Astyanax mexicanus: one gene and its partners. The protein of the gene in region 3 binds, or shares a complex with, the protein of the main gene of each other region. Links are inferred from orthologs where the notes say so. Each region holds a gene or a part of one and is shown on either strand. Other genes may lie near its edges.

Region 1 (10,702 bases), on a different chromosome or scaffold from region 3:
GCAAAATCTTACAGCACTTCCCTCTGCTGACAACTTTTATGGAGATGCGGATTTCATTTTCCAGCAGGACTTGGCACACTGCCCACACTGCCAAAAGTACCAACTGGTCAAGTATAATATTCAAATTTTCTAAAACACTGATTTTTGGGTTTACATTTTGGGTTTACATACAGAAATCACATCCACAATGAAAGCAGTCAAGTGTTCTTCAGCTTCCACGGTAGATGGCAAATACTTTTGGGACACAATACTTGTCCCATGAAATTTGGCATATCTATGTTTATTTAGGATGGGTGTTTTTTAGGTTTAAAATGTAAGTGTGTGTAAATATGTATGAAAAAAATTGTCTATGTCCAGATATGGATTGGCACTCTGTGCTGGGTCAACTCCTCAGTACTGGATGCAGTCCTCCTCCAAATGGACAGTGGTTTCTGGTTGAGAGTACGCTCTGTGCGATTGGCTGACGCTTCGCACCAGTGTATGTTTGGTAAGTGTAGAATGTAATTGTAAGCATCCTTAAGTGTCTTGAATGGCAAAAAGGTGCTATATAAGTGTAATTGTAGGTAAGTAAATATTGCAAACAAATGTAAAAATACTCACCATGCCTCCTGATGGCTGCCAGCAGTGTTAAGGCTCTTAATAATAGCTAAGCTATCAGCAGTAATTTTTGAAGCTTCATAGCGGGCTAGAGCACAGCATCGGGAGAAGCTACTCAGTCTTTTATCTCCAGCCTGACGGACACCCACAGTCAGCAACTTGGCCACTCGACCGTTCTACAGAGTTAAGAAAAGAATAAAAAGGCTTCTGTAAAGAGGGAGATGTTGGAGAAACACTAAATGCAGTAAAACTGCTTTAAACTGAAAATGTTCCCTTACCATTTCTCGATCCTTATTCAATCTCTCCTCCAGCTCCAAGGCAAGCTGGTGCAGCCAGTGCTGGACCTTCTCAGGAAGAAAAAGAAAGGGATTAAAAGTACATGTAACAGTTATGCATAGTGTATACATACTAAAAAAAGCATTAGGTAAAACATTACCTGTTTTTTCGTAGCTAGAGCAGTCTTTCCTGCAAAGTTCTTGCTACAGCCGATGGATTTAGGAAGCTGTCTGGGCTTCACTGGCTCAAACTCAATTCCTCTGCACAAATCGTACAACCACTGCCTGAAGAAAGATAAAGCATTTGAGGCTTGCGATCCGATACTTTGGCAATACGTTACTAAATATTCATACAAATGATTCCCCTTTAAATATGCATCTTTTCTTAAATAAACAGACTAAAAACAACAATGCACAACAACAATTCTGTAACTTATCATAGTTAAGATCATGGTTAATTTTGTTTAATGCTAGTATTTCTCTGTGTTTGGGAGAGATACAATAATAGTGTAGTGTGGTTTATTAGGCCTGGCAGATTAGATTTAGACTAGACGTTTTAGGATAAACTAACCTCTATAAATATATTTCCAATTTTATTGAATAAAATATTTTAAGCTAAAGAATAGCATGCTTTGTATTACAGACTATAATTATAAATGATTTACTGAAACAGATCTGCTGTTTGTACTGTAAAGTTTTCCCAGATATTAACAAAAACATTATTTCAATATGTGACAATTAACCAATTAACCAATAAACTTTTGTTTTATTTCACAAAGGAAAATACAAAAGTGCACAAGGTTGTCCGATCCGACATCAAACTAACTGTTCCAGTTCTTACCCTGTCTTTTCTCCAAAGTGCTCCTCCAGCTGGACACGTGTGAACTGAGTAAGATCTCCCATGTTCTCCACTCCTAATGTCTCTGTGATGGAAACACCAAGCTTTCCTCCCAGGTTGCGGCTGAAAGACAAAAGACAAAAAAAAAAAAAAAAAAGCTCCTTCACACACTGTGATGTGAGCACAATTGTCCAGTTAACCCTGAAAAACCTAATCTTTTATATTATTTTTATTTTATTTCCTCCATTAATGCTTTTATTTAAAAACTTGAAAAGATGCATTTTAAAGGAAAATCTCTGAGGCCTTTTTATGGCCACTTAATACTTGTGTATTTTGTTCAAGTTATTTCAATAATAATAAAGTGGTCTCTTAATTTTTTTCTCCCCGAGCTGTTCTAGAATTGTGCTGGCTATTTTCCTAAAACCCTATGAACAAATATGTATGTATATATATATATATATATAAAAATAAGAAAAAAAACATCCACCCAGTCAATTTGTGAAATGTCTTACATTTTACTGATAGGCAGCGTCCCGAAGAGTTCAGGTACTGATCCTAAAGGCAGGACGGTCTGGCGATTGGGCTTGTTGAGACCACATGCAAGTTTTGCCAAAACCTGCAAACACAGATTTAATTTAAAGCTACAGGTGAATAGAACTTATACTAGTAATACCTGGATTTTTAACTAAAAAAGAACAGTCACCTTGTTATGAGAAATGCCTGCAGAGCAGCGAAATCCAGTGTGTTTCTCCACTGCCGCCCTCATTTCCTCCACAATCAGCGCCCCCACAGCCAAACACAGCTCAGCACAGTCCGTCTGAGAACAGGGCGGCAGCGAGTCCAGCCACTGGTGCAGACCCCGAGACCTCTGCTCCTCTGTGTTTACAGGCAAAAGAAGTATAAATAAAATCATGCCTAAAGAAGGTATGCTGGCATTGTAATAATAATAAGTCTTTTTTTTTTTTTTAAGAAAAATCACATCTATATCTAATTTATACCAAAATCTGTGTCAAAGAAAATCAGTACTGTGCCATCTCTTCTTTTAGCTTAAAAATTATCGTCATTTAAACTGCATTCCTACATTATTAGTATTCAGTATTCTTTCTAAAATGATATGAGATGATCTTGTTGACTACCTTTATCCCCAGTTTCTGGAAGCTCCTCTGTGCTATGAGGAAATCCTTGTACATATGTGGCCTTCAGAAGGTGGGGTTCAATCCGTTCCGTCGCCAGATCCTTCAATCTTTTCTGTACGCTGCTAGTAAGATCCATGTAGGCTTCGTCAATACTGGCTCTCTCAATCACTGCAAAACGGGACATGACCTCAATCACCTCCACGCTGGCTTCCCTATAACTGATTGCAAAGACACACTAGGTCACTAAACACTGTGGTGCAAAAATATAAATAAAATTCCATACAGAAATTACTTATAAAATGTCTGTGGATATAATGAATATATCATGAAAAAGGATGCACAAGGTATAATTAGAACTATAATGAAGTAACTTTTCATATTTGATATTGTAGTTTTGTTAGATGTACTAGTATATACCCAACACGATGGACTACATATACAGTATATATACACACAGCACCATGGACTACTTATACAGTATATACACACAGCACCATGGACTACTTATACAGTATATACACACAGCACCATGGACTACTTATACAGTATATACACACAGCACCATGGACTACATATACATTATATACACACACAGCACCATGGACTACATATACAGTATACACACACACAACACCATGGACTACACAGTATATACAGCACCATGGACTACATATACATTATATACCCAGCACCATGGACTACATATACAGTATATACACAGCACCATGGACTACATATACAGTATATATACACAGCACCATGGACTACATATACAGTATATATACACAGCACCATGGACTACATATACATTATATACCCAGCACCATGGATTACATATACAGTATATACACAGCACCATGGACTACATATACAGTATATACAGCACCATGGACTACATATACATTATATACCCAGCACCATGGACTACATATACAGTATATACACAGCATCGTGGACTATACAGTAAATAACGTTACAGCTCCACAGGGGAGAACTTACTTCGTCAGATCAGCTTTGCCATGAGACTCTCTCACTCTGGCGACTCGAAGGTCTGGACACAGTTTTTTCGCGTCGTCTGCGAACATGTTCCTGGTGACCCCGTGAGCCCGAGCTTCATAACTCACAGCTATAATACTAAAACCACAAAAATATAACATTAGTGAATGAAGATCCAGGAGATAGAAGAGAAGACAGCGAAGAGAAGACCCCCCTCACCCTCCTCCTTTCCAGGTCTTGTACTGAGCCACCACGCAGGGCTTGTTCCTCAGCTCTGGGTTCATCCTCTGCTCCACCTGCACGTAGAAACAGTCCATATCCACCAGCGCGACCACCCTCTCCTTACCCGTCTCCATCACCGAGAGCAGAGGGCCAGTCCAAACACTAACTAAAATAAGATAAGCTAAGATAAACTAAACCTGAACTAAGCTAAGCTAAGCTAACCCAAGCGAACAGACAGTAGTCCAGCTCACAAGCCTACAACTAGGTTAGCTTAGCTTAGTTAGCTACCTGAACTTAACTTTACTCCTCACAGGAAAAGCGCGGGAAAACATCAAAGCGTCCCGACATCCTGAGATTAGACTTTATGATTTCATAATCAGAAGTAAAATAAGTAATTTATGACGACAAAATTCTGCTGCAGGAAGAAATTTCCCGCGACAACAAACTCTGCCACAGATTCTCCACAGAGGAGAATACCCACTTAACCACCTCTTCCAGCTTTATTCCACCACTAGAGGGCGCTCCAAAACGCGAGTCCAAAATGAATAGGCTCATATGGAGCAATTGAGCAAAATCAGAGTTTATAAATGTTTAATCATTGTCAAACTGGATAAATGTCCAAAGATATAATTAAATATTTGCTTTATTATTATTTTTATTATCGATCGTTGACTGGAATTATTGGAAACTGTCAACACTTCTGAAACTAGCCTTTAAAACCCACCGAAATAAATAAATCTAAAAAATATCTAAAATACATAAATGTGCTTCAATACCCTTTCGTGTTTTCATGTATGCTGTATTATAGGAATTACACATGTAATGTCCACAGCATTTCAGTGTAAACAAATGTAAGCCTATTAGTTTCTGATCATCTAAGTGTAGTTTGTTAGTGGAATGGTAACATTTGAATAATCGTAAACCAACAGGGTTTTACATACAGGAATTAAGCCTAGTCTTGGACTTCATAGCATTCTGAATGGGGATTTTACATTAAAAGGAACTTTTACTTTACGACAAGACTTAATTCTTCTCTGTGCAGGAAACTCACACACAGTGTTTTAACCAGAACTGGTTCATTGAGAGTTCACGCACTTTATATTTGCCCTGTTAAACGCTAGAGGGAGCCCGCGAGCGAGTCCTCAATGAATGGAAGTGAAATGAGCTAAACGGATAAAAACTCAAATTAAATATATTAACTATCCACTTGTCACGGCGATTCCTTTAATTTTACAAAGTAAATTGAAGTATTTTGCTAAAAGAATAAAGAAAACTAACCTGTATATGTCTATTTTTGTACAACAAATGGGTTTTAGGCATTAAAGACGCGTCGCTGCCTCTATTTCACGTTTAACACAACCCGCTTACGTCACTTTGACTGGCCGAGACAGCAGCCCCTCCTTTGCCCGCCCACCAAGGCGGTCCTTAACTCGTCGGATCAACCAATGTCGCACCACAGATATGCATATCTGCAGAGCCTACCGGGAAAATACTGAACCTGTCGTATTTATACTGTATTTAAGCTTATATATCACCATCTTATAACACACAAAAACTACCACCACTCACAGAAACACGCGTTTATTGTTTTTCTCTAAAAAAAAAAAAACTAAATCAAATGTGCTCTACACCCTGAATGATAATCCACAGATCCTGCCCGGGTATATAAACAAAGAACGGACACTCTCTTAACTGGATGTGAGGGCGATCTGGCTGCGACATCTGTCACCCCATTGATCGCTAGGGTTGATTCGGCTGATCTGGCTGGCTAGGCGGGTGTCCCCTTCCTCCCTCACCGCTCCATGTGTGTCCCTCCCGAAGCTCCGCGCTCGGTGGAAGAGGACAGGCTCCCCGGCGGACATCGTTGGTATACGAGTAGCTGAGTACTCCCCTGCTAGAACCTCCAAACAAGCTCAAGGCCCATTTGTAGGAGAAACGTAGGGAAGTCAAGCTCCAAGACTTCAGACACATCCAAATGTGGCACTGCACGTGGCAGTCTGCCTTCTTTTTTCAGAAATTCAAAACTACAAAATAACCCAGCATAGCATGTAGTGTTAATGAAATCATTATTTTTGTAATCCTTAACAAGCTACATATAAAACGATACAACATGTAAGTTACAGCCTAAAGACAAAATTAAACCAAAAATTTATATTCTAAAATCGAAGAGTGACTGTGTAATTATGTCTTTTCTTTACAGTAAATTCAACGTTCACATATACCATAATATTCACAATATCAGACGACAACGCCAACAGCTGTCAATCACTACATCACAACTTTAGATTTTACAAAATAACTCATATAAAACGCTGGTGAGGCTTAACACTTTATCTGATTCTAAAAGTATTTTTGAGTTTAATTTGAAAATATAAGGCAGAATGCTGAGTGCAGTGCCATTAATGGATTAATTGAATAACCCAACATAATTAAAATCCCATCTATCGTATGAATGCACATATGAATATAAAATTAATGTATTAATACACTTATTAATATGCCATCCCATATGTCTGTCTTTGTTAAAGAGCAAAATACAAAGTATTTCAGCATGAAAGCACGTATTTTTATTAACCTATGTGTGATTACTATGCGTTTATGGTCTGTGCTCCATTTGTTGTGTTAGAGCGCCCTCCAGTGATGAGAGAGTTGCAAGAAAAAGTATGTTAACTCTTTGGGATTATGCTTGGATTTCAGCATAAACTGGTCTTTAAATGTGTTCTGATCTTCATCTGAGTCACAAGAATAGACAAACACAGTCTGCTTAAACTAAATCTAATAATCTGTTATTTCTAATAACATATATTTATCTGTTCAAAACATTCTCAAACTTAGAGGCAGCTTTATTTATTTTTTTTACAAGTTTCTAATCTAAAGATGGTTACAAAACTCATGTGAGATTTAAAAAGCATGTTTAAAAGCAAGTCCACTAAATAATTAGCTTTTTTCAAGAAAGCTTTATTTAAAATAAATGGTGCTTGTTCCAATAATTGATATTTATGACAGAAAAATCATATATGCATGCACATTGTATTTTTCTAAAAGAGGTGTTGCTAGATAGTTGCTACGGCATTGCTATGGTATCCATGGTGGATGCTAATCTGTTGTTAAGTAGTTGCTAAGGTGTTGCTATGGTATCTGTTATGGTTGCTTGGTGGTTGCTAGGTAGTTGTTAAGGCGTTGCTATGGTGTCTGTGGTGGTGGTGGTTGTGCTAAGGTGTTGCAAAGCGGTTGCTATGCGGTTGGCAAAGTGTTTTTATGCTATCCAAATATACTAACGCTATATTTAAATATTATATACATAGATGTCCGTGGCAGCAGCGCACAGGGGAGCGGAGCGGAGGGAGGAACCATTCATTTTTCTTTTTATTATTTAGGCTTTTATTTTAGCTGTTTTTGAGGTGTTGTAGTTTTGTGTTGATTTATACAACTATACAGTGTATTTTTTCTCCTCCTCTGGGGGGCTGTGGAGCAGGAGCAGTGCTTCTCTCCTTCAGCTCCTCCAGCACCACCCTTTTCCTCACCACAAGAAGAGGAAACATGGCTCTCTCCCTCTCTATCTGCTCCTCCATCTCCTTCTCCCACTCTTTAACCTTCTGCTCCATCTCTATAATCTCCTGCTCCCGCTTCTCAAACTGCCGCTCCTGCTCCTTACACCGCCTCTCCCGCACTGTCAGCTCTTTGTGGCGGTCGATGAAGCCCTGCCTCTTCGGCTCGAGCTCCTGAGACAGTTCCTGAACCCTCCATTCCCGGTACTCAATATCCTGCTCGCGCCAGTCAGCACGCTGCTCGCGCATCGCAGTCCTGTACTCCGTCGCCTTAAACTTGATCTCTTGATACTTTAAAATCTCCATCTTCTCAGAGATCTCCTCCTCATACTTCCTCAGAGCCTTCATCCGCATCCACCGCTCCCATATCCTCCTAAACGGGTTTCCCCTCGACCTGCGACTTCGTATCTTCTTCTGTTTCGCCATTAGTAACTAAAGCAGTAATGAAAGGAGTGAAGTAATGAAAGCAAAGCAGTAAAGTGGCCAGTGATGACGTAACGCTCCGCCGCTTTTATAGTCTGTTTTTTGATGACGTCATCGACGAGAGCGCCGCCACCTAGGGGGAACAGGTATCTAGATAACGTCACAGACGGCTCGTGGAACGGTAGCTTGGTGACGTCACAGGCGGCTCATGGTACGGTGGCTGGGTGGCGTCATACACAGCACAGCTCATAGAAGGCTAGCGTTTTATATACGATTTATTTTGTAAAATATAAAGTAGTGTGGAGATGTAGGGATTGACAGCTGTGGGCTGTGTCGTCTGATATTGTATACCGTATATATGAATTATAAATGAGTTAATTTTCTTAATCTTTACTGTAATTTACTGTAAAGAAACATAATTATACAGTCACTTTTAGACTTGAGAGTATAAATATAGGTTTTTAAGTGTGTGTCTGGTTTAATGTTGTCTTTAGTCTGTAACTTACATGCTGTAAGTTTAATATGTATCTGTAGCTTCGGTTAGTGGAGGATTAGTAAAATAATAATTTTACTATGGCAAAAAACTGTTCTTGAAATTTTAGATACATTGTACATTGTAGCTAAAGATTTAACACTACATGCTGTTAGGATGCTATTCTGTTAATGTTAATGCTAATGATGCTAATGTTCTATTTTCAGCTGAGTTATTTTGTAATATTGTAATTTGATGAAAAAATGAAAAAGGAATGCAGACTGCCACGTGCAGCACCACATTTGAATGCGCTTTATATTTTCAAATGAACCTAAAATACTTTTAGAATCAGATAAAATGTTAAGCCCCACCAACGTTGTATATATGAGTTATTTTGTAAAATATAAAGTAGTGTGGAGATGTAGTGATTGACAGCTGTGGGCTGTGTTGTCTGATATTGTGAATGGAATGGTATATGTGAACGTTGAATTTACTGTAAAGAAAAGACATAATTACACAGTCACTCTTAGATTATCGTTTTCTATTTCAGGATTTTCAGCTTTTTTGTAATATTGTGATGAAAAAAGGAAGGCAGACTGCCACGTGCAGTGCCACATTTGGATGTGACTGAAGTCTTGGAGCTTGACTTCCCTACGTTTCTCCTACAAATGGGCCTTGAGCTTGTTTGGAGGTTCTAGCAGGGGAGTACTCAGCTACTCGTATACCAACGATGTCCGCCGGGGAGCCTGTCCTCTTCCACCGAGCGCGGAGCTTCGGGAGGGACACACATGGAGCGGTGAGGGAGGAAGGGGACACCCGCCTAGCCAGCCAGATCAGCCGAATCAACCCTAGCGATCAATGGGGTAACAGATGTCGCAGCCAGATCGCCCTCACACCCAGCAGAAAAAGTGTCCATTCATTGGTAATATACCCGGGCAGGATCTGTGGATTATCATTCAGGGTGTAGACTACATTTGATTTAGTTTCTTTAAGAGAAACACAATTAACGCGTGTTTCTGTGAGCGGGGGCAGGTTTTGTGTGTTATAAGATGGTGATATTATAGTTTAAACATACTATAAATAGGACAGGTTTAGTGTTTTCCCAATAGGCTCTGCGGTTATACATATCTGTGGTGCGACATTGGTTGATTCGCCGCGTTAAGGACCGCCTTAACCGCGGGCGAGGGAGGGGCTACTGGTGTTACTATACATTATTTATTATTATACATGCTCTTATACTACATAACTACATAATCTAGACTCCAACATTAAAAATACAATTTCTGCAATTAAAGACAGACAACAGGATTATTAATTTTTTTTATTGCTGGAACATAATTCAGGCCGGGAAGAGTATAAAAAGTATAAATTTAAAAGTTATTTAAGGGTAAAAAATAGCATTAAGGGCAAACAAATATGTAATAATTTAGGCTGCATCACATGATCCTATGATGCACTAAAAGCCATAAAGACTATAATATTATATAATAAAATGTTAATATTTAAATAGCTCTATAAAAAGTGAGCTGTGTTGGTGCATTTGTACTAATTTTAATCAGGGGTCAATGGGTTTAGATTAGCACTGAGAGAGGAGTTGAGGATCCTGCACAGATTATATTCCATTCCCTTGAAGACTCTCTGAGTACAATAGAGTATTATTACAGTTATTTATTAGATGCAGATAAAATAAAAAGTACAGAGGTGAACATGCACAGTGCACAGCAGGAGTTTCCTACAATTGAGCACAGAAATAACTGGCTAAGCTATAATAACTAAGCTTCTGTTCAGTAAATTAAACAGTTCAAGGTTGTAAAGATTATCAATTAACTTTTTCAGACAGTATCATTCAGAATATCCCGGCCTGAACCCTGTAAATGATTATTCTTATCATTTTATACGAGTCAATAAATGTGAATCAAATCACACGCACTGTTTACCGTCCTGTCATTGGCTAAATTGCTATGCATATTCATTAGCGTCGCTTCTGATTGGCCGAGCGCAGTTTCGGTGTTTATGTAAAGTTCTGGCAGTTGTCAGGTGCTCTGCTGTCTCTCGGCTGAAGCTGCAGAGGATCCCGCTGATCATTTTTCTCCTCGGATTGAGCTGCTTCTGTTTCTGAAACCATGTCTGGAAAAGTGGTGCTGCATTATTTCATCGGGCGGGGGAAAATGGAGTCGATCCGCTGGCTGCTGACT
Region 2 (10,240 bases), on a different chromosome or scaffold from region 3:
CATATAAATAAAACATTTCAAACTATTTTTTTCCATGCTATGTACATATCTGCTCACCAGTGACTTACAAAGATTGTCATTTTAACAGGTTTAACTGCAATCTGCACATGTGCCATTTTTTTGGTTTCTGTGCAAAACATGTTATAAGATACTTTACTGACCCTTTTTCACATTTTCAGCTCAGGGAGGAGTCAACTAAAATCAGGGGGTTTAGTGCACCTTTAGACAACAACGAATAACAAAATCTCAAACTTTCCCACAAATCAGTTCAATTTGTTTCACTTTGGGAAAGAAATAGCTTTTTGACAAAATGCTTAATTTGTGGGGAAAAATTACCACCTACTTCATTAGAATAAATTAAGATAAATTATAATATGTTTATTTCAATATTCCAACATTTGTGAGCAGAATAAGATTTAAACAAAATCATTAACAGGAATTAGAGGTGGATCTTTTAAAAAATGATTTTTCATTTAAAATCAGTGATTCATACAAACCTAAGATTAATCTTTAAAATTAGCCTATTTTTCATGTGCGTAAAAGTCATCTATTTGCAGAGTTCCAAAACATGCTTTAGCGTTAGAGAAGCTCAGCTAATATTAGCAAAAAGATTTAGTTTTCTCTCACTAAATGTTATAAGAGTCTACTAAACTACTAGACAAGATGCGTCTTATTTTTAGTAATTCACATTTAGCTAGCAAACAAGTTACTGACTTTTACATTCCACTTCAAATGCACTGGCAGTTACATTCAGAGTAAGAGAAAATTAATCCAAGCATTGATTAAATTCACTCTTTTCTTACACTGAAGTTCTGTAGAAGTAAATAAGCTGAATGCCTGATTACATTACATGGACACTCTTGTTATGATATGGACACATTGAATAACAAAAACAGAAATGCATCTTGCTTGGGTTAATTCTTCAGGTAAACACTTATAATTTTAATAATGGTAGATTGGTTGTCCCTTATACAATTATAACATTAGTTCTCTGAAAGTCTCTTTCAAATCTGAACAAAAACAATACACTATAACATTCCTAAAATACATTGTACTGAATTAAACCAAATCAAATTGGGACCTTGTGAATTGGAATTGATTGATTGATTCTAACAGGCCCTAAAAGGAATGTTGTCATAATCCCCATAATATGCATGGAAACAGATCTTAAATCCCATACTTGTTGCAGTTTTTCAGGTTCTCTTTCACAGCATCATAGTCTGTACTGTAGAGTGGGCCGCTATCCTTCAGCTCAGCCTTCTGGACACTGTACACATGAACACTAATGGTTTTATCCAGCTTGGACTTCGTATCTAGAACAGATAAGAACATAAGAGAGGAACGGTGTAAAGATCTACTCAAATTTAAATTGAATTGTGTAGGTTGAACATTATACATGTTAATTTTTTTCTCTGAAACATCAGAAAAGATAATCATACCATCAAGCTGATCTTCACGCACCACGGACACCTTATGACACTAAAAGGAATAACAGAAAATATTTCAGGTAATAAAAGAGAAAACATTTAGGTATTCAGAAAAGGTATTTAGGTATTCAGGTGTTCTAGATCACATTATATTGTGGAAGACAAGCCAATGTTGGTCGGTCTCATGTAATTCTAATAACCTCTTATTTTTAAATGCATAAAGGAGGTTAAAATAGGTTTTTAACCTGGGGGTCCTGATACACAATAGAGCGATGCTAATAATCAAGGGAGTTTTCTAGGGATGAACGATGATATTGGAAATATATCAGCATCAGCCGATAATTGCTTTTTTTAAGAATCTTTGGTACCGGCCAATGTGTAGAATTGGTAGATATTTCACAACGAAACTGGCCGACATTTTTATTGTATGTAGAAAAAGGACCAAGTAACACTGGCCTAGCAACTTTAAAATCTAAATAAACTGATTTAAGTTAATTTTGATTTATTTTTATTTGTTTCAATAAATATATGGTTTTATTTAACATGTTCATTTAGAGGGTATAAAGCTGTGAACGGTCTATGTAATATATATAATAAATAAATGTGAGGGGGGAGAAAAAAAAAAATAACATATTTAAGCAGGAGACACCTCAGGTTCAATTCCAGGTCTGGGTGTCTGGATGCTATGCTACACCAATTAAAGACCTTGGGCGAGACTCCTAACACTACACTGGACCACCTCTGTAATAGGACTAATTTTGTAAGTCGCTCTGAATAAGAGAATCAGTTAAATGCAGTAAATGTAAATAATGTGCAGTAACTTTTTGTTCCTGTGAATCAGGATTTTCTGCACTAAAGCATCTTTGAAACACAAATACAGATACTGCAAAACAGTAAAAAAATGATTTGCTAAATCACGTGGAACATCTTTGTTTACAGTAATAAACTCTGCATAAAAGAATCCTGGTCTCCATACTCACCACACTCCCATTCTCACTGCACTTTCCGGATACAAGGTAGGTGGCATGCAGTGTGGTTCCAGACCTCTCCTTGCGTCTCTGGTCTAAGTAGTGATAAAGCATCCTGCAATACATGAAAAAAAAGCTATGTCTGTCGGCCCACCTCAAACAGCCTTTACTAAAAATAAATAATAGTATAGCCATATACTTACTGTTTAGCCGTGTTGACATGGACTCCCAGAGTAAGACTGAGCCATTTATATGTGACCTGTGAATATAAAAGAGGAAAATCCATCAAATATAGCAAAACTATTTTTCACAACACATTTTTTTTTTTTACTTTATTGTTTAAAACTGACCAAGATTTGAAATTAGCTATTTTTAATGAAGCTTGTCCAAAGAGGAGCATTTCAAGTCACTTTCAAAACAAACGTAGCACAATGCCAGAGAAATGTAGGAGATTCCAGCTGACTTAACCGGAATCTCTAGCATTTCTTTATGTTTGAAAGCCCGAAACTGCAGAGATTAAGCTAGAGATTTGTTGCTTTTTGCAAGTACCAGGATGAAAAAGTGTTTCTAAGATTCAAATCTGAATTTGATTAACTGCATTTACATAATGAGCGGCATGCTTTCTTATTTTAATTTCCCATGTTCCATGTTCTGTGTATTATAGCTTGATTTTATATCCAGTTTAAAACGTATGATTTTATGGTGTGGGATTAAAATAAGCACTCTATCAGCCCAAGGTTATGTTAAAGATGTGCTTTATTCCAGCAGGTCAATGCTCGTCCACACACTGCTGCTTACAGAGGTTTTTTCCTACATAGTAAATGAATAGTGAAGTGATCCAGACTATAAAGCAACACATAATTAATTGTGTAGTAACTTAACTAAAACGTGTTAAACTAATCAGGATACTCCCTCTTGTTTATTACTGCTTAAATGTAACGTTACTCTCTTCAAAAATATATGGAAGCTTGGTTATGCTTAATGTATTATTATTTCTGTATTGTTATGGTTATGTCAGGTGCACTTAATGTTCTTAAAAGGACAATAACATTGTTTGTCGCATTAAAACAGCTTTAGAAGCTTATCTAGCCAAGTAGCCAGTAGGGGTGGGCAATATTATATCGTATACAATATATCGTGACAGAAATATCATGATATTAAAAATCCATGTCATGATAATAGGGCTGTTCTGTCTTAAAAGTAGTCTATTATTTACTGTGAAGCTTTAGGTGTATTTATTGTATAATTGTTTTAGTTTGCAGTTTATATGCATGCACTAAATATTCTGCAATATTATTTGATGCATTATATTATTTTATGCTATATTATTTATTTTGCCACATTATGATTATTCTGTTATACTCTTATTCTATATTCCTGAAATTAATAAATTATTTTAGTTTTCCTATATAGCCCAAGTATATCGTTATCGCAAAAATACCCTGAAATATCGTGATATTATTTTAGAGCCATATCGCCCACCCCTAGTAGCCAGCTTGTATAATGGCATTTGGTAAACTTAGATAATCTGGAAACCTTCATGTACTTAGCTTAGCTTGCAAAGACTGGACTTTTCAGCAGGAAAATATGCTAAGCTAACATAGCTAGCTAACTAACTAACTATAGGTAACCTAGGTTACTAACATAGCTTAGCTAAAGCTAGCTAGTCAATCACATTGAATAGTGGGTCCAGTGATAACACCAGCTAATGCAAGCTAAATTAGCTAGGTTAACCGTATTTTTGCAGGAAAATAAAAAAAGCAGTTTTCCGTAGTGTTAAACTAATAAAACACCCACACAACCCACCACCTCCAGCTCTAAACCAATACTGAACACTGATCATGCAGCGTTCCCCAACCCACACCCCAGAGCTCACAGCTATTAAACAGACACAATCAACCAAGCAGCGCCCACTGCCCTCAAACACAGCGCTCTCCTGAACATCAGACACTTACTATCTTATTCTGATCGTTCACATATTCGTCTATGTTGTCTAAATACAGATCGTCCATCGCAGCGATAATCTGAAGCAGCTCCACTCTGCAGCTCCGAAACGCGGGAAACTTTATTTACTTCCTGTCATGTGCGCGCGGACGGGAAGGGGTGCGTTCACTGCCACCCGCGCTTCAGCGAGTTGTTATAAAAACAGACCGTCTCTGATTAACATTTAGGGCCTCAATAATTATAGAGAATTGGTATTAAGTACACTGCTAAACATAAACGTTTTTCTTGCAAAATAATGACTTACTACTATTACTCAAAATAATGAGATCTCAGAATAATTATTTACTATTTTAAATATAATGACTTACAATCTCAAAATATTAAGATTGTATCTCCAAAAAATAATGACTTAAAAATAGTGTCTCAAAATAATGACTTACTATTTCAAAATAATGAGATAGTAGCTCAAAATAATGAGATACAATCTCCAAATAATAATTTACTATTTTAAAAATAATGAATCTCAAAATAATAAGATAGTTTCTCCAAAAAATGACACAGTATCTCAAAATAATGACTATTTTAAAATAATTATATTATCTCAATATACTAAGATAGTATCTCAGAAAAATGAGATATCTCAAAAGAATGACTCAATATTTTAAAATTTAAAAATGAGATATTATCTCAAAATAATGATTTACTATCTCAAAATAATGAGATAGCAGGTTAAGTAAAAGTAAGAAAAAAATGTGCTGGATTTTTTTTTTTTAGGTGGCGGGAATGGGCTTCCATACCAAACACTTACATGTAATTTGAATAAAATATAGTAAAATCTATGAAGTTCATTTGTGCCACTTTTTACACAAAATGAAGCATTTTATTCATTTTTGCTATTTGCTATTGTCTGATCATCACTCTCAGGCATTTTAAGTGGGGATAAAATTAATTCTGAACATAGCAAAAATTTTAAAACCTTCTTATTACATATTTTTAGTGATAAACTTTCCTTCCCTATCCATTATATGTACAACTGACCAACATCCCTTTTCATACAGTGCTGAAAACATAATTTTGAAATCATTCTCCAGTTATAAACCTTTTAAACCTGCCCTCACTGTAACTCAAACTAAAATATATTTAAAGTTTTCTTTGCTTATTTAGTAAAATACATTGTAATACTTTATATAATTAAATGAATATCCTACACATGTGGATAGTAACTATTTTAAGTTTTAGCTCCTTTGACCCCCATTCATTTTGGACTTCTTGTGGCTCACAGTAATATTCTAATATAACAATGGAGAAAATAAAAAAAACAGTCAAGCAGAGAAATAAACATTTATGCCTTAAATATTTTATTTTATAAATCTGTATAATTAAAATTCATTTTTTTTATTTTGACATTTAAATCTGAATTTGATGAACTGAATTTAACCATTGGTGAAGCATTTTGTTCTTATTAAAAATTACATTAGATAGCTTTGAAATAAAACTGAATTAAACTTAGTCTTACATATACAATACTAATGATAATTGGCAATCAATTATATTTGCTTGTATAAACAGTCCTTTGCAATAATGATATATTACTTTAACAACACATTTCTTTATCCTGTATTGTGCAATACCAGCTTTTTGCCCTCAACTGAAAATATAAATATTTATTAGTAATTGATAAAATAATTGTCCTGTAAATTAAATTAAGCCAAAAAAAATAAAGTAGGCTTCACATTGGATCACTTTAATATATGTAGGGAGCAACTTGATTATTAAGAATATTTAACAGTAGATTACAACCTAAAACTACTACAATATAATATATATATAAAACAGTATGAGACTTTGTGAACATCATGAACAAGAAATCTCTGTCTCCTTAATTAACTTAATGAAAGTATTTATTAAACAGTATGAACAAAACAATTAAACAAATATCAGAAATGCTGTAAACCTGCATCATGTTTAATAATGCACAATATCACAACAAGCATTTGCAAATAATCACAAAAGCATCTATCTGAATAAGCTGGGGGTCGACAGTGGCCTGTAGATACAATCCCACACTGGACATCTCAGGCCTGATTAAATAGCAGTACTTCAAAACATGCAGGTTATTGGATTCACATGATGGGCGTCACTTCAGCAGATACACGCTGCTAGGATTTAGTTGATAGCATTCAGAGGAAGTGTGATACGCAGCATCTGGTGAAAAAAACAAAACATGTATTTACATATCTGTGCATTGTCTTATTCATTGCATAGTGCTCAGAAATATTGGTATTGCTTTTGACATTCAGTTCTGTATCCTGTTGTTATGTTGAAAAACCATATATTCCTACCATAAAGATGCGAATCAGATTAATAAATGGTTGCCTATGTAAAAGCTAAGCTATGAGTTGTGCCTTGTAAAGCTATATTTGTAGATGCTCAATTGAAATGTTGTATTGATCTTCTTCTCTCTACATGGATATTTAAGAAATTATGTTTGTGCTGAATTTTATAAAGCATTAGTCAAAGGTTTGGACACAACTCGTCTTATTCAATGTGTTTTCTTTCTTATTATGTTTTTTTTACATTGTAAATGTAATATTGAAAATATTAAAGCTCTACAGGAACACATGCTGAATTATTCTGTAAACAAAAAATGTAGCACATTTATCTTTAAGGACTGATCTGCACACTCTTGGTATTTTAATCTCAGTATCTTCATGAGGGAGAGTCACCTGGAATAGTTTTCTCAGCGTCTTGAAGGAAGGAGTTCCTGGAGGTGTTGTTTTATTTACTGTTTACTACGTAATTCCATTTGTGTCTCTTAATTGTTTTAATGTCTTTAATATTAATCTACAATGTAGAAAATAAATACATAAAAACACTGAATAAGAGGGTGATATGAATTAGAATATTAAAGTTTGATGTTGAACAAGGTCTATCTGAACTTGTATTAAATCTGTATTTAAGACTTTAAATTGAATCCAGGTGCAAATTAATCTAATGTAGAAAATTCAAATAATGCTGCACAACCCGTTTCAAACTTTTGGAGTTTTTAGTTTTAATTCCTCTGCATTGTGCTGCATGTGTTTGTCTCGTTTAAATGTTACATGTTAGAATTCTGTGAAAGTGACTTAAATAAAACTGAATTGAAATCTTTAGATAGATCTAGTCCAAAAACAACAACTTTTTTTTTACTTTTTTTAATAATTTAGATTTACAAACTTTTAATCCTATTGGTACAAAATTATTCCATAGGTATCCTAATGCATGGCATCCCCTTGTTCTGTATTTGAATAAACATTGATGAATATACAGATGTGTTTATATTTATTCTAATAAGAGACACACACTTTATTTTATTGTTTGTGTGCACACAGCATATGTTATGTTGATACCCTGGATTTGTAAAACTCAATAAAATAAAGTTACAAAAAAAACAAAAAATAGTAGTATTGTAAGTACTTATCATAACTAGGGTATATTTTATAACAGAGTGTTTTAACTCACAAAGAGCCCTTTCCACAGCCTAGTGGTCCGAAGTAGAGCTCTGAAGGCAGACATGTTCCTTGTCGGCAGACTCCGTTCAGGCTGGCACAGCTCCACGGGAAGGACGCCGCCTCATTCTCTTTACCTTCAAAAATAAAATGCAGTACTGTTTTGGTTCTGTACAGCTAAGACACAGCTTGAATTCATAATAATCATAATAGTAATTGTATTTATTTTTACATACAAAAAAAGATACTGTTTAACCATGCTAGAATAATTTGAATAAGCTGAAGATTAACCATATTCATCTTATCAATGACTTTATTACTGCAGTTCTTCACTTGTCAGACCTCTAATTCTTCTCTTCACTGCTAAAACTCAGTTCAATCATGTTAATCTGAGCTAAAGGATAAAGCTGTTTCCATGTGGGTCAGCCAGACGTCTTCCTGTAGCAGTTTTCTCCAGTTTACAAGAGTGTTTAGAAGGTGTAGGAAACAGTACTCACCGCTCTCTGGCTTCATCTGTAATTTCTCTAAAAAAAGACTTTTACTTTTAATAGTTACAAAGTTCTCTGTGTTTCTGTGTCTTTTTTGTGCTGTGTGCAAGTGTGTAAATGCTGCAGTAGAGACTAAGACTTATTAAATTTTGTTTCTATTGCTACCAGCCAACTGTAAGCTGTTAAACAATTACTTGTTTCCTAAAAAGCCACTTTCCTCTATTCTTGTTTTTTTTTTTTACAGTACACAAATTTTCCTGTTTTAAGTTATTTTTCCTCAAACACCCAGGCGTTTTACTGCTAACTTTTTAATGCTATTTAAGTTTACTACAATATTCAGGATATTCACTGGATCTGAAGAACTTTTGACCTGTAGTGTACTGGTATATGGACATGTCTATATGAGATAACATTGCATTGCATTGGTCAGTGTGTATTACTTGAAGCACTGACGAAATCCACAGTATACTTGTAAAGAAATGCGTTTATCATTATACAATAAAAGACACAATAAAATATTACCGTATTGCGCAGCTTCACCTACAAAACATAGTAAAAACATGATATACTCACAGTACAGAGCCAGGACAACCAGCAGGACCAGAACCAGTGCGCACTGAGGCTTCATGCTTGCTGTTGGTGTAGAAATCCTCTGAGGACCGTGACCATAACTGCAGTCAGACAGTTTTATTCTCAACGTATTTCAGCGGGAGGAGAGACTCTAGTGAGGTCACTCCATTTTGGACTATAAGTTGAAAATTGGATTATGTTGCTGCATGAATAGCAATACTGTTCCTAATCACATTTGGTGAGTGGTTATTCATGGCAGGGCAGGTCACGCAATGTGTGCTGCAGCCAATTACCACAGTGGAGAGAAAATAATGTTTTCACCTGATCTCGCACACATGCTTGTCCTGATGGGGACAATTTCCCTCTAAACATTTTCTGAATCCCAAAATGCAAAGGCCTTTCAGGGGAATGTGATATTAAGACCACTGCAGGGCCAAATGAATACTAAGTACCGATCTGTGCTGAAGCGAATAAAGTTTCTAGTTAGTCTGGTTACCGTTTTCTGTTTTTATTTGTGCTGTTGCTTAACCAGGTCCAGGAAATGCATGGAACAGAGCATACCAGCTAACTAGCTAAATGCTAAATTGAGAACTGTGTGTTTTTATACAGCTACCAGCCTCATCCTACATTACTACCAGAAGTCAAAGTCAAAGTGGTTTTTATTGTCATTTCAGCTACATACAGAGTACACAGTGAAACGAAACAACGTGCAACAGTACGGAACAATAGTGCAACAGTACAAAAGTGCAGACAGACAATACAAAACAATACAGACAAAGAATAATAAATAACAAGACAGTGTGCAAATTTTGCAGTGTGCACAAAAGACCAGGTGAGGTAGTAATTACTCTATTACACAGTGTGCAATAGAGTCCAGTGAGGTAGTAGGGTTTTTAGTGCTTTCCATTTTCTGGGGTAAGTGGGGTATACAATGCAGAATACAGCATTGTTAATGCTATGTTAGTACAGGACAATTTATACTTGCTATACCTATTATATTACTAGCAACCTATAATATATACTACCTATAATACTTCTATGTGTACCCTTCACGTAGCCACAGACCCTACGCCACACTCTATACCATAGCCCAACATGCACCTCCCAAGAAATGTGGACAAGGACACACAAACACAGAAGTATAAACACAATAGATCTTAATGTCGTTGTCCACTCTCATCCAACGTTACTAACAACACATTAGAAATTTTATTCAAAGTGCAAAAAAAAGCTGCTTTCCAAATGTTTGTGGTCAGCCATCCAAATTAGGGATGTGGCATATCATATTGTACACAATAATATTGTCAATTGTTTTTAGATAATAGCCAATAGGCAAACATTTTCCATATTTAGTA
Region 3 (10,303 bases):
TACCCTGAAGCTGTATGGTACCACAATTACACCAATGTGTTTTCCCCTCATTAAATATGTGTGTCCTGACATTATCGTATCAATCTATGCATCTGTTCAACTACACCTACTAAAAATACTTTTATGCAAAAGTAATATGTTTAAATGAAATAAGATACAACTATGATTTCGTACATTTTCATTATGTGGCGGTATAATTGATAATTTATGTTCCAGATGTAGGTAAATGTAACCTTGGAACTTTTTTGTTTGGATGATACACTGTCCCAGAAGTAACTAAGGAAAATAATATTATTGTAATTTTAATGTCACTTATATAATGCAAACATAATAGCCTAATAAAGCAACTGCACACTTTTTAATTTTGAAATATCCAATAAATAAAGCATACATAAAATAAAAACAATGTTTTTTCACAAAGGCCCCATACAAAGGCACAAAATATAAATGGGGTCTTGTCTATAAACTGTACAATAACATAATGATCATGGCAGAACATTAACACAATGCTGCCACCTAAGCTTAGATTATTTAGGGTAAGCAACATATTACAATCAGAAATATATCCTAGTCATCAATTTCTGGAAACATTAGGCAACAAATGAAGAGTCAGTTCTTGAGTGTGATGTGTAAAAAGCAGAAAAACTGCTAAGGGTGAGATCTGTTGTGGTGGTACAAGGGATTTTTAGACAATATGAAGCAGGTGGTGCTAATGTTATGACTGATCTGTGTATACTGGCAGAACTAAATCCTAGTTTAGAAATAAGACAGACAGACAGACAGGCAGGCAGGCAGGCAGGCAGGCAAGCTATCAGACAGAAAAATGCCTCTCTAATTCTACTGTAGACTCTTATCTTCTTCCCTCGATGGTATGGAATGCTCCATCCAAAAATGCAGGGGAGTTTAACACCTCTGCTGGCAGCTTATTAACAGCACACTGATGCTGAATGAGCTTTGTTAGAAGGGAACCACCCCCTTTCTCTTGCATGTCACTGTTCAGCCTGCTCTGTTATGCTGCGAGTGTCCTCACTGCCACATGTCGCACAGATACAGAACCAGACAGCCACACAGAAACACACATCATCTCTCTCTCCACAGGGATCCATATCGACTGAATCTCCATGCCTCCGACTCACACAGACATGGTGCAGACGCTACTGTTCTCATCAGTCAAATACTCTCCTCAGTAAAGTCAAACATCCCTCCCAGGGTCTGTCTCTTTCCTCGCACACTTGCTGCGTTTGAGTGGGAGGTTAAACACTGAGGCTGGGAGCACTCAGTGAACTGCTGGGTTTCACAGTTTCCTCACCAGAGCAGATTTAAGCAAGATATCAAGGTTTTGATACCAGCAACAACAATAAACAAAATTTTATCTGTACCCAAAATGCTGCCTCTGTGATGGTTTAGGTATGCACTGGGCACCATGCTAAATAGTGAGATAGAGACTTGAATGTTTATGTAGCGGATTGGGTTTTATGGCTCCACTTTTAATGAAGCCAAATATGTACAGTATATCCTTATCAAACTACTCTACTAGCCCTAAATAGCATCTGTGAAATCTAATGAACAGAGTGAAAGAGAAAATCGAGAAGCAGACCCCTGGACTACAGCAAAGGGCCTGAGATCAGATCAATTCTGTTTACAGCAGCCATCAAGCCCATTTTGCCAATATAGCTGCACACCTCATTGAACGTAACACCCCAACAACCACCACATTGCACTGCACAAAGCACTGTTCAGTCCCACTACACATCCCTGACTCTCTCTACATAACCCCAACTGCTGCATCTGACTTTACTGAAATTACATTTAAAACATAAGTAAGAAAATTCGGCAGGCTCTTTGTTAATTGAAAAAATAACTACAGTTCAATCGTATAAAACATATAAACAAATAGCTAATGTGAAAGAAACATCCCAAATCATCTGATACATTAAGATCACAACATTAAAAACGTAAAAAAAAAAAAATAGTAACAAAATCTATTGGACTCAAGAGGAGAAAGTATTTAAATGTCTAGACGGTACCAATTACAACTGCATTCTGAATCCAGAAGATGTTCATGTCAGTGATAAATGATCCTAACCTCATTTCAATCTCCATTAAAACACTGCCTCAGCCTCAAAGTGGCTTAGCAAACTTAATTCCTTTGTCAGCAGCCACAGTATCAACACGTCTGCCTACCGTCCAGACCACACATCTTGTTGTGCCATGAATAAAATGATGCCTAATCACAAGTTCTGGGCAAAATTATGTCAAATGAATTTTACAACCAACAAACATTTTCACTGATTATTTTACACACAAATAATGAATGGATATTTTCATGTATTTCATGCACCATTGCATTTTTCTTAGCTTTTTTTTTTTCTTTGCTTAGCTGTTTAGGGTGTATTAGCATTAACAGACATTTTAGCAATAATTACTAACAAAATGTATTAAAATAAGTAATATAAAAACCATACATGGAAAATTATTACATTTCTTAGAGGATCTAAATGTCGGTTCTCAATTAATTCCCTAGCCAGGCACTCTGGAATCTTATTTTTTAATCTTGGGTTTTGTGATCCTGGCAGTGTACTAAGCTGTTAGTGACTGGCCGCCTAGTGTTATACCCACCATTGATTAAAAAATAATTATAATTCAGGTATGTAAATTTCATTTAAGATACCAAATAAAGACCTCTTTTAGGAAACTATAAATTAACACAAGCCAAATATCAACAATATCTTAGTTGGACCTGGAGTAATACAAAATAACATTTGGACATGAACTGGACAATAACAAACATATTTACTTCACTGACATTTCAACACACATTATTTTACAACCTATGTTTCTGACTGACGTTCTTTGAATGATGAAATTACCTGAGCTGGCATATTTATTTTTCCGAATATTTTAGATGTTTGTATGTGCAGACCTCCATTGCAGTCATTCTTGCCAGTTTTCTTCTTTCATATATTTTACCCTACTTTTTGAGAGCTTATACTCCCGCACACAAACAAACAAATTAGCTATGATAATAAGCAATAAAGGGTTAAAAAATAAGTAAATATAATTTTTTTTCCAACTAGGAGAGATACAAAAATGTAATATCATGAATTGTTGACATTTTATTGTACACAATCATTCTATTTTTATAAATGCAAATAATGCAAACTAAGAACCATTAAAAACCTAATTTAATAACCACATCTGCATTAATGCAGTACTCATGTAACTATTTAAATCGGCCTGTTGATCCTCGTTGCCCAGCTCGGCTGCACTGACTGCTTTACTGAAAGCAGCACATGCTTAAGGGGTCACCAGGGTCGCAGGTGTACCAGCAGTCTGTCCAAGTTCCCGAACATAAACAAACTGTCACACGCGGACCATAATTCAGCTCTACGTTTCATTGTCCAGCCCACCCGGACACACACACACACACACACACACATAAATATATATATATATAAATAATGTCAGTCACACTGGTTTAATGCCTGACTCGAGCTGCACCAGGACAAGCTTGGGCATGCCAACTACTGACCTGCAGGACTGAGTAAGGTTACTACTACCGGGCGGACTGACGATGGCGGTCATATTTAAACACATGTCCAGAGCGAAGGGTGACACTGGATAATATATATAGAGAGAGCTGGGTTAGCGGACAGACAGTGCTGTGTGTAGTTGTTAGCTCACATAGCCAGCTAACGTTAGCTAAATCAGACAGGGGCCGTTTAGGTTATGTTGGGTTAGCTAGGTTAGATTAGCGAGTTAATTGTTCTCTAAATGAGCTGGAGCGGGCTGGTGCTGTGGTATTCAGATTAAACCGAGTTAATCTCCAGTCAGACAGCGCTGTAAACACACAGCACACTTTCACACACCAGACCAGAGAACAGAAAGACTGGAGGAAAAGGCAGCTGAAGTCAACGACACATAACCGTTACATAACAACACAGCTACGACACAGACAAACACAAACAAACCGCAGCGGCTCTTATCCAGGTGTGTGTTTGGACTGTGGGCTGTCTCTCTGTTCGTGTCAGGGGCTCTGAATCATCTGAAAAGCGAATACTGCTGCTCACCTATTCTCCCCTTTTCTACCGGATAATCGACTCCGAAGCAGCGCGCCGCTGTTTCCCAGGCTCCGCCGAGGCGTCCACTTTAACCGTTCAACAGTGTTTTAACCCAGTATTAACGGAACAGCCGCGCAGACACGGGTCTTTGGATATCGAGAGCATGTTTTCGGGGCTTCAGAAGATTCCCTCTCCCCTCATAATCTCCGCTTTCCATCGCCAGGCGCCGTTCAGCGCTCTCTGTAGCCCCTCTCCTTCCTCCGGCTCCTCCTCTCGTTGTTTCCATTGAAGCTCCGCCTCCTGCGCGCCAGGTCAGACTCTCCGGGCCTGCGCTGCCCTCACAGCGCCACCTGCCGGCCCGTGGCCCACATTACTGTTGTCGCAGTGGCTAAACTGAATATTTACAAAAAAACCTTTCAGATTTCAGATTAAATAAATAAATTAAAAAATTAAACAGCATAAAAAGATTTAAAATTCAGATCTAATCACAATAAGACATAACAGAGTTATATAGAGACTTATATGCCTAACGTTAATGTTGATCTGCCCTAGAGTGACTGTCAAAGCAAAGCACAAACACTGTGCTGCCCCCCGGTGTTATCACCGTGCATGTACAGCTGGAAGTCCCAACAGGCTGTCAGTCTGATACAGCTTAATTTTTTACCTTAGATGTAAGGCTTTATAATAAAGTCAAAAGTGCAAATAAACAAAAAGTATAACATCTACCAATGCAATTATATATTTTTCCAAATTTACACAACAAAACTTTTCATTTTGCACAAAAGTTTCAAAACAGAAATTAGATGTTTAATTGTGTAAACCTTGTTATTCCAAATTGTTTTGGAATGATCTTTAAAGTTATTGTTTAAATAAAGCAGACTACAGGGTATATATATACTGTAAAGGTGTAGTTATTGGTTTTTACTGTAATGTCTGTACTGTTTTATTTTCTCACTTGATGAGTGTCTCATACATGTCCTAGTAATAAACAACTCTGGACGTGGTTAACATAAGGCCTCTGTTTTGTACAGTAAAGTTTTAATTAACTCTGTATTGTAGTGATGGAAAAAGTTGGCCAAAATAGTTCCTTTGGCCATGTGGTTCTATCAGCTATCATAGGTGTTTAGCTTAGGCTTATGTCACATTCTCTCATTTTCTTTGAACAGCTTAATGATAATATGCACTTTAGAGGAAGAAATACGCAAATCCCTTTCAGTCTTCATGAAACATTGTTTTAAGATATTTAAATACATTTGTGATGCATTTATTACAAAGTGGAGATACTCTGCCCATCTTTCCTTCTCAAAGAGCTATTCATGGATACTGCTTTTGTACCAAATTCAGATTATAATCATCTGTTGACATCACATGTTTAAAATCACATCACACATGTTTCTTACCTCAGAACTAACTCTAAATTTGTCTACTTTCATGTGGTTTGATAAACACTGATCTTAATTAGATCCCACTGCATCCTCTGTGTGTTTTACATCCTGTTGGTGTGTTGGTTCACTGATGGCTGATAGTGGAGATTCTGGGATGTTAGCAGGAGCTATATATCCCTAGAGGGTTGCAGCTGGATGTTGATGATTCTTTGGGCACTGTTAATAGTTTGTTGCTGGATGTGTTTCTTCACAGTTTGTGGGTGGTTGATAAATTTGACTGAAAAAAAAAATCTCAAAATTAAGTCATGGAAATCACTGGGTTATATTGTACCAACCCTTATCTTTCCAAATCTATATATGGTCTTATAATTTTTTTCTTGAAATTTACAGTCTTTACACTCTTTACAGTCTTAGTAAAAATGGGTATAATATGATAATGTACGTTAATTTATCCTGATTCTTTATCATTACTATATAAAAGTATAGCATTGCTTACATGCAAATATGTTACCTTTTGCATTTTTTTTTTATTATCTACACACATAGGAAGACGTTTCATCGAAATCTTTCAATATACTTGAAATTATTTTGGGAATACCTTATTATAAAAGTGCCAAAATTCTTGTAACCTTTGCTGGCACTATTCCTCATATGTCACATAAAAAAGTTTATGATAAATAACCAAAATCCTTAATTTCTTTAAAATCCTGAATGTCACACCCTATGACAGGGGTGTCCAAACTTTGTAAACTCTGTAATAAAACAAATAATAAAATATACCACTTTAAATAATACTTTTTTCCTGATTATTTCATTTACAGACCATTTTACTTGACTTACTATCTTTATCTTTGACAATGTTGAGAAAATTAATATTTTTCAAATTGATGTTTAATTTCATGATGTCTCTTAATATTTAACTCCTTAATGATGGCAACTTTTAGACTCTTTGTCCCGTTTTTCTGCGCTAGAAATGTGCATCCTCTCCGCTTTTTGACTCTTTGGCCCGATTTTCTGCTAGAAATGCACACCCTCTCCGCTTTTAGACTCTTTTGCCCCGTTTTTCTGCGCTAGAAATGCGCACTCTCTCCGCTTTTAGACTATTTGGCCCGTTTTTCTGCGCTAGAAATGTGCACTCTCTCCGCTTTTAGACTCTTTGGCCCGTTCCTGACACCTAGCATTCAAACTTTGAATCTCACATTATAAAAACCTGCTTAATAGCGGGCCAACTTTCATTCTATTTCTAAAATACCTCGCGGGCCGCTCCAAAAAAAGAAAACGGGCCGCAAATGGCTGTGGATGTATTGCTAAAATCAGTGTGCCACTAAACATTGTGACACATTTGGCTTCTACTTAAAGAAACAAACAGAAGAACCATAGGTTTATGATACAGTGGACTGCAATTGGGTAAGATTAAACTTTTTCTTTTGCATTCAGAAGTCTGAGTAAGTCAGTGAATCTGCATGAATGAGTGAGTGTTGCTGTTTAAATATTACATTTGTGAATAATATACTATAAAAATGTGTTAAACTAATAAAATATTTAAAACACTTAACTATTAGCTATAACATATGTATCTAATAGCATTATTTATGTATTTAAATTCAGTTTATATCTTATAGTGTGACAAAATTGTTATATGGTGTGATAAGAAAACCCTGTCACACCGTATGATGTGTTAAATCATATGACGTTTCATGTACTTAGCATGAGTTTAAGCAATGTGTCTTTATGCTAGCATCATAAAACCATGCTAACTACAATAATGACAATATAGTTTTAAAGGTAATATTGACTGAAAAGTAATTTATTTGGCATTTTTGTGTAAAATGTGTCACAACATATGACAGTGCAAAATGGAACTGAAGCAGGAGTGCTAGATATACTTGATTTTTCTGAAAACATAAAGAGCGATAACACATCCTGTAACTTTAGTGTCCTTCTGAGGTGTTGTTCTTCATCCTGAGAGAAGGAGAACCCCCACTCTCTTAAGGTGTCCAAACAATAGCCCGTTTAAAAAAAGGAGTATGGCATCACCATATGACTTTTATTTTTGGGACAAAATGTTTTTGCTAATGGGGGCTCTAAAATATTATGCCCAAACTTTTAGCAAAGCAGACTCATAAGTAGACATCTGGTTTATTATGTGAGCGTTTTCTGGTTTGCACAGCACTTTCTGAACAATATTATCACAGTTTTTGACATATTCTTCTATAATTTACATATATTTGACACACTGAATGAAAATAAGGCCATGTCATGTCAACCACCCGTGAACATCTGGTACACTAACCTGATGCTCCAAACCCTGCAGCAGTAGAAAGTGATAAACAGGTCTTTCCTAGAGTTTATTTTCTTGAGTAACCTCTACAAACACAATTTTAGGCTGTTTTAAGAAATTCTCCTACGGGAGCATCCCCCCCAGATTTCAACATATACATCTATAAGGGCACTCGTAGTAGTAAAAGCACTGATGATGTGGATAGGCTGGATTAGGACTGACCTCTGTACCAGTGGAAGCACAATGAGATGAGTTTAATTTGGAATAAACTGTACAAGAACACAGTGCAATGAAATTACTTTCCTCCAGCACCATGGTTCAACATGAGCCAAGCTCAGTTCCATTTCTGTGTGTTGAGGAGTCAGACCGCCTGGTGGAAGAAGCTGTTGCAGAATCTGGTAGTGGAGGCTCGGATGCTCTGTTATTTTCTGCCAGACAGCATCAGAATGAAGAGAGTGTGAGGGATAGGTGTGGTCATCCACAATGCTGGTGGCTTTGCTAATGCAGCAGGTGGTGTCGATTATTTTTATCTTGGAATGAACTATGGCAGTATTTTGGAGTCTCTTGCAGTGAGACATGGCATATGCAGTATACAGACAGTATACAGTATACATATGCAGTATTGTCTTCTCATTCCTACTCGTCAGTCCTTGCCACACATTATTTTTTTTAACATGCTTTCACTAGATTTTTTGCTGTCCAGAGGCGAGTATATTGAACTGTAGCCTGCTATTAACACCGGCTAGCACTATTGGAGCAGCATTAGCATTAGCCACTAACCACGCCAAGCACTAGATCTTTGCTGTTCAGAGGCAAGTATATCGGCCTGTAGCCTGCTGATAACCCCGGCTAGCACTAGCTCTTTCACCGGTCAGAGGTCAGTTTTATCGGCCTGTAGCCTGCTGATAACCCCGGCTAGCATTACTGGAGCAGCATTAGCATTAGCCGCTAACCACGCTAAGCACTAGATTTTTTGCTGTTCAGGGGCGAGTATATTGACCTGTAGCCTGCTATTAATCCTAGCTAGCACTACTGAAGCAGTATTAGCGTTAGCTGGGTCCTTTGCTGTTTAGAGGCGAGTATATTGAACTGTAACCTGCTGCTAACCCCTGCTAGCACTGCTGGAGCAGCATTAGCATTAGCCGTTAACCATACTATGCATTAGATCTTTTGTAGTTCAAAGGCAAGTATATTGGCCTGTAGCCTGTTGATAACCCTGGTGAGCACTACTAGAGCAGCATTAACATTACCTGCTAACCACGCTAAGCACTAGATTTTTTGCTGTTCAGAGGCAAGTATATTGACCTGTAGCCTGCTGATAACCCCGGCTAGCACTGCTAGAGCAACATTAGCATTAGCCATTAACCACGCTAAGCACTAGATCCTTTGCTGTTCAGAGGCCGGTATATCAGACTGTAGTCTGCTGCTAACCCCTGCTAGCACTGCTGAAGCAGCATTAGCATTAGCCACTAACCATACTAAGCACTAGGTCTTTTACAGTTCAAAGGCGAGTACAACGGCCTGTAGCCTGTTGATAACCCTCGCGAGCACTGCTGGAGCAGTGTTAGCATTGTTTGCTAACCGTGCTAAGCACTACACCTTTTGCTGTTCAGAGGGGAGCATATCGGCCTAAAGCCTGCTAATAACCCCGTCTAGCACTGGTGGAGCAGCATTAGCATTACTTGCTAACTGTGCTAAGCACTACATCTTTTGCTGTTCAGAGGGGAGTATATCAGCCTAAAACCTGCTAATAACCCCGGCTAGCACTGCTGGAGCAGCATTAGCATTGTTTGCTCACTGTGCTAAGCACAAGATCTTTTGCTGTTCAGAGGCGAGTATATCGGTCTGTAGCCTGCTGCTGACCCCGGTTAGCACTGCTGGAGCAGCATTAGCATTAGCTGCTAACCACGCTAAACACTAGATCTTTTTCTGTTCAGAGGCGAGTATATCAGCCTGTAGACTGCTGCTAACCCTGACTAGCACTGCTGGAGCAGCATTAGCATTAGCTGCTAACCACGCTAAGCACTAGATGTTTTGCTGTTCAGAGGCAAGTATATCAGACTGTACCCTGCACGTTTACCGTGTTAAAACAAACTATGTGGAATGAACTGCTAGCTAATATTGCTTACCGGAACACTCATGGTTCCTCAGTGTAGCACTGTCAGGTGGCATTTAGTAGCGCTAACCGTGGCATTTTTTTAAAGGAGAGAAATGTGTGTAGATTAACATTCAGTGCTCCTTTGAATTTAAAAGATTTTTTTTTTAAGAAGTACAGTTTTGTTTACTAAGCTTAGCTTTACCACATCCCTCCCCTGCACCTTATAATCCGATTCGCCTTATAGTGCGAAAAATATGGTGGTTGTTAGGGTAAAAAAATAGGTAAAGCACTAAACACAAACAAATGTAATCTTATGGAAATAACAGGTGAAAACTTTATAGATTCCAGTAATAAATATTTTAATGCAAGCAGATTTTTTATGAGGTCATGCAGTGTACCATCTTGGGATGCTTTGAGTACCACCAGTGGTACCCATACCACAGATTGAGAACCTCTGAATTAGACTATGCATGGCCAG

What was found.
Region 1: the proteins of rev1 (region 3) and polh are in contact, whole or in part, in an NMR structure (PDB 2LSK), measured with the Homo sapiens proteins. The link is inferred for Astyanax mexicanus from reciprocal best matches to the Homo sapiens genes REV1 and POLH. Residues at the interface, in NP_057400.1 of Homo sapiens: Asn1158, Leu1159, Ala1160, Gly1161, Leu1171, Leu1172, Trp1175, Ile1179, Asp1181, Pro1182, Met1183, Glu1185, Asp1186, Gln1189, Val1190; in NP_006493.1 of Homo sapiens: Thr528, Glu529, Pro530, Phe531, Phe532, Lys533, Lys535, Ser536, Leu539.
Region 2: the proteins of rev1 (region 3) and pold3 are in contact, whole or in part, in an NMR structure (PDB 2N1G), measured with the Homo sapiens proteins. The link is inferred for Astyanax mexicanus from reciprocal best matches to the Homo sapiens genes REV1 and POLD3. Residues at the interface, in NP_057400.1 of Homo sapiens: Asn1158, Leu1159, Ala1160, Gly1161, Leu1171, Leu1172, Glu1174, Trp1175, Ile1179, Met1183, Glu1184, Glu1185, Asp1186, Gln1189, Val1190; in NP_006582.1 of Homo sapiens: Gly232, Asn233, Met234, Met235, Ser236, Asn237, Phe238, Phe239, Gly240, Ala242, Ala243, Met244.

Annotation. Positions count from the first base shown.
Region 1 is NC_064414.1:2,689,451-2,700,152, forward strand, and holds the start of polh (DNA polymerase eta), read right to left. Parts: upstream 4,568-10,702; 5' UTR 4,199-4,567; coding exon 4,062-4,198; intron 3,981-4,061; coding exon 3,846-3,980; intron 3,065-3,845; coding exon 2,847-3,064; intron 2,587-2,846; coding exon 2,414-2,586; intron 2,327-2,413; coding exon 2,223-2,326; intron 1,834-2,222; coding exon 1,714-1,833; intron 1,158-1,713; coding exon 1,034-1,157; intron 942-1,033; coding exon 876-941; intron 774-875; coding exon 601-773; intron 1-600. Other genes in the region: gsta.1 (glutathione S-transferase, alpha tandem duplicate 1), read left to right, coding at 10,631-10,702. UniProt on the Homo sapiens protein: DNA polymerase specifically involved in the DNA repair by translesion synthesis (TLS). Due to low processivity on both damaged and normal DNA, cooperates with the heterotetrameric (REV3L, REV7, POLD2 and POLD3) POLZ complex for complete bypass of DNA lesions.
Region 2 is NC_064424.1:5,730,049-5,740,288, reverse strand, and holds the start of pold3 (DNA polymerase delta subunit 3), read right to left. Parts: upstream 4,484-10,240; 5' UTR 4,408-4,483; coding exon 4,351-4,407; intron 2,655-4,350; coding exon 2,599-2,654; intron 2,511-2,598; coding exon 2,408-2,510; intron 1,480-2,407; coding exon 1,440-1,479; intron 1,314-1,439; coding exon 1,181-1,313; intron 1-1,180. UniProt on the Homo sapiens protein: Accessory component of both the DNA polymerase delta complex and the DNA polymerase zeta complex.
Region 3 is NC_064418.1:24,903,312-24,913,614, forward strand, and holds the start of rev1 (DNA repair protein REV1), read right to left. Parts: upstream 4,349-10,303; 5' UTR 4,071-4,348; intron 1-4,070. UniProt on the Homo sapiens protein: Deoxycytidyl transferase involved in DNA repair. Transfers a dCMP residue from dCTP to the 3'-end of a DNA primer in a template-dependent reaction.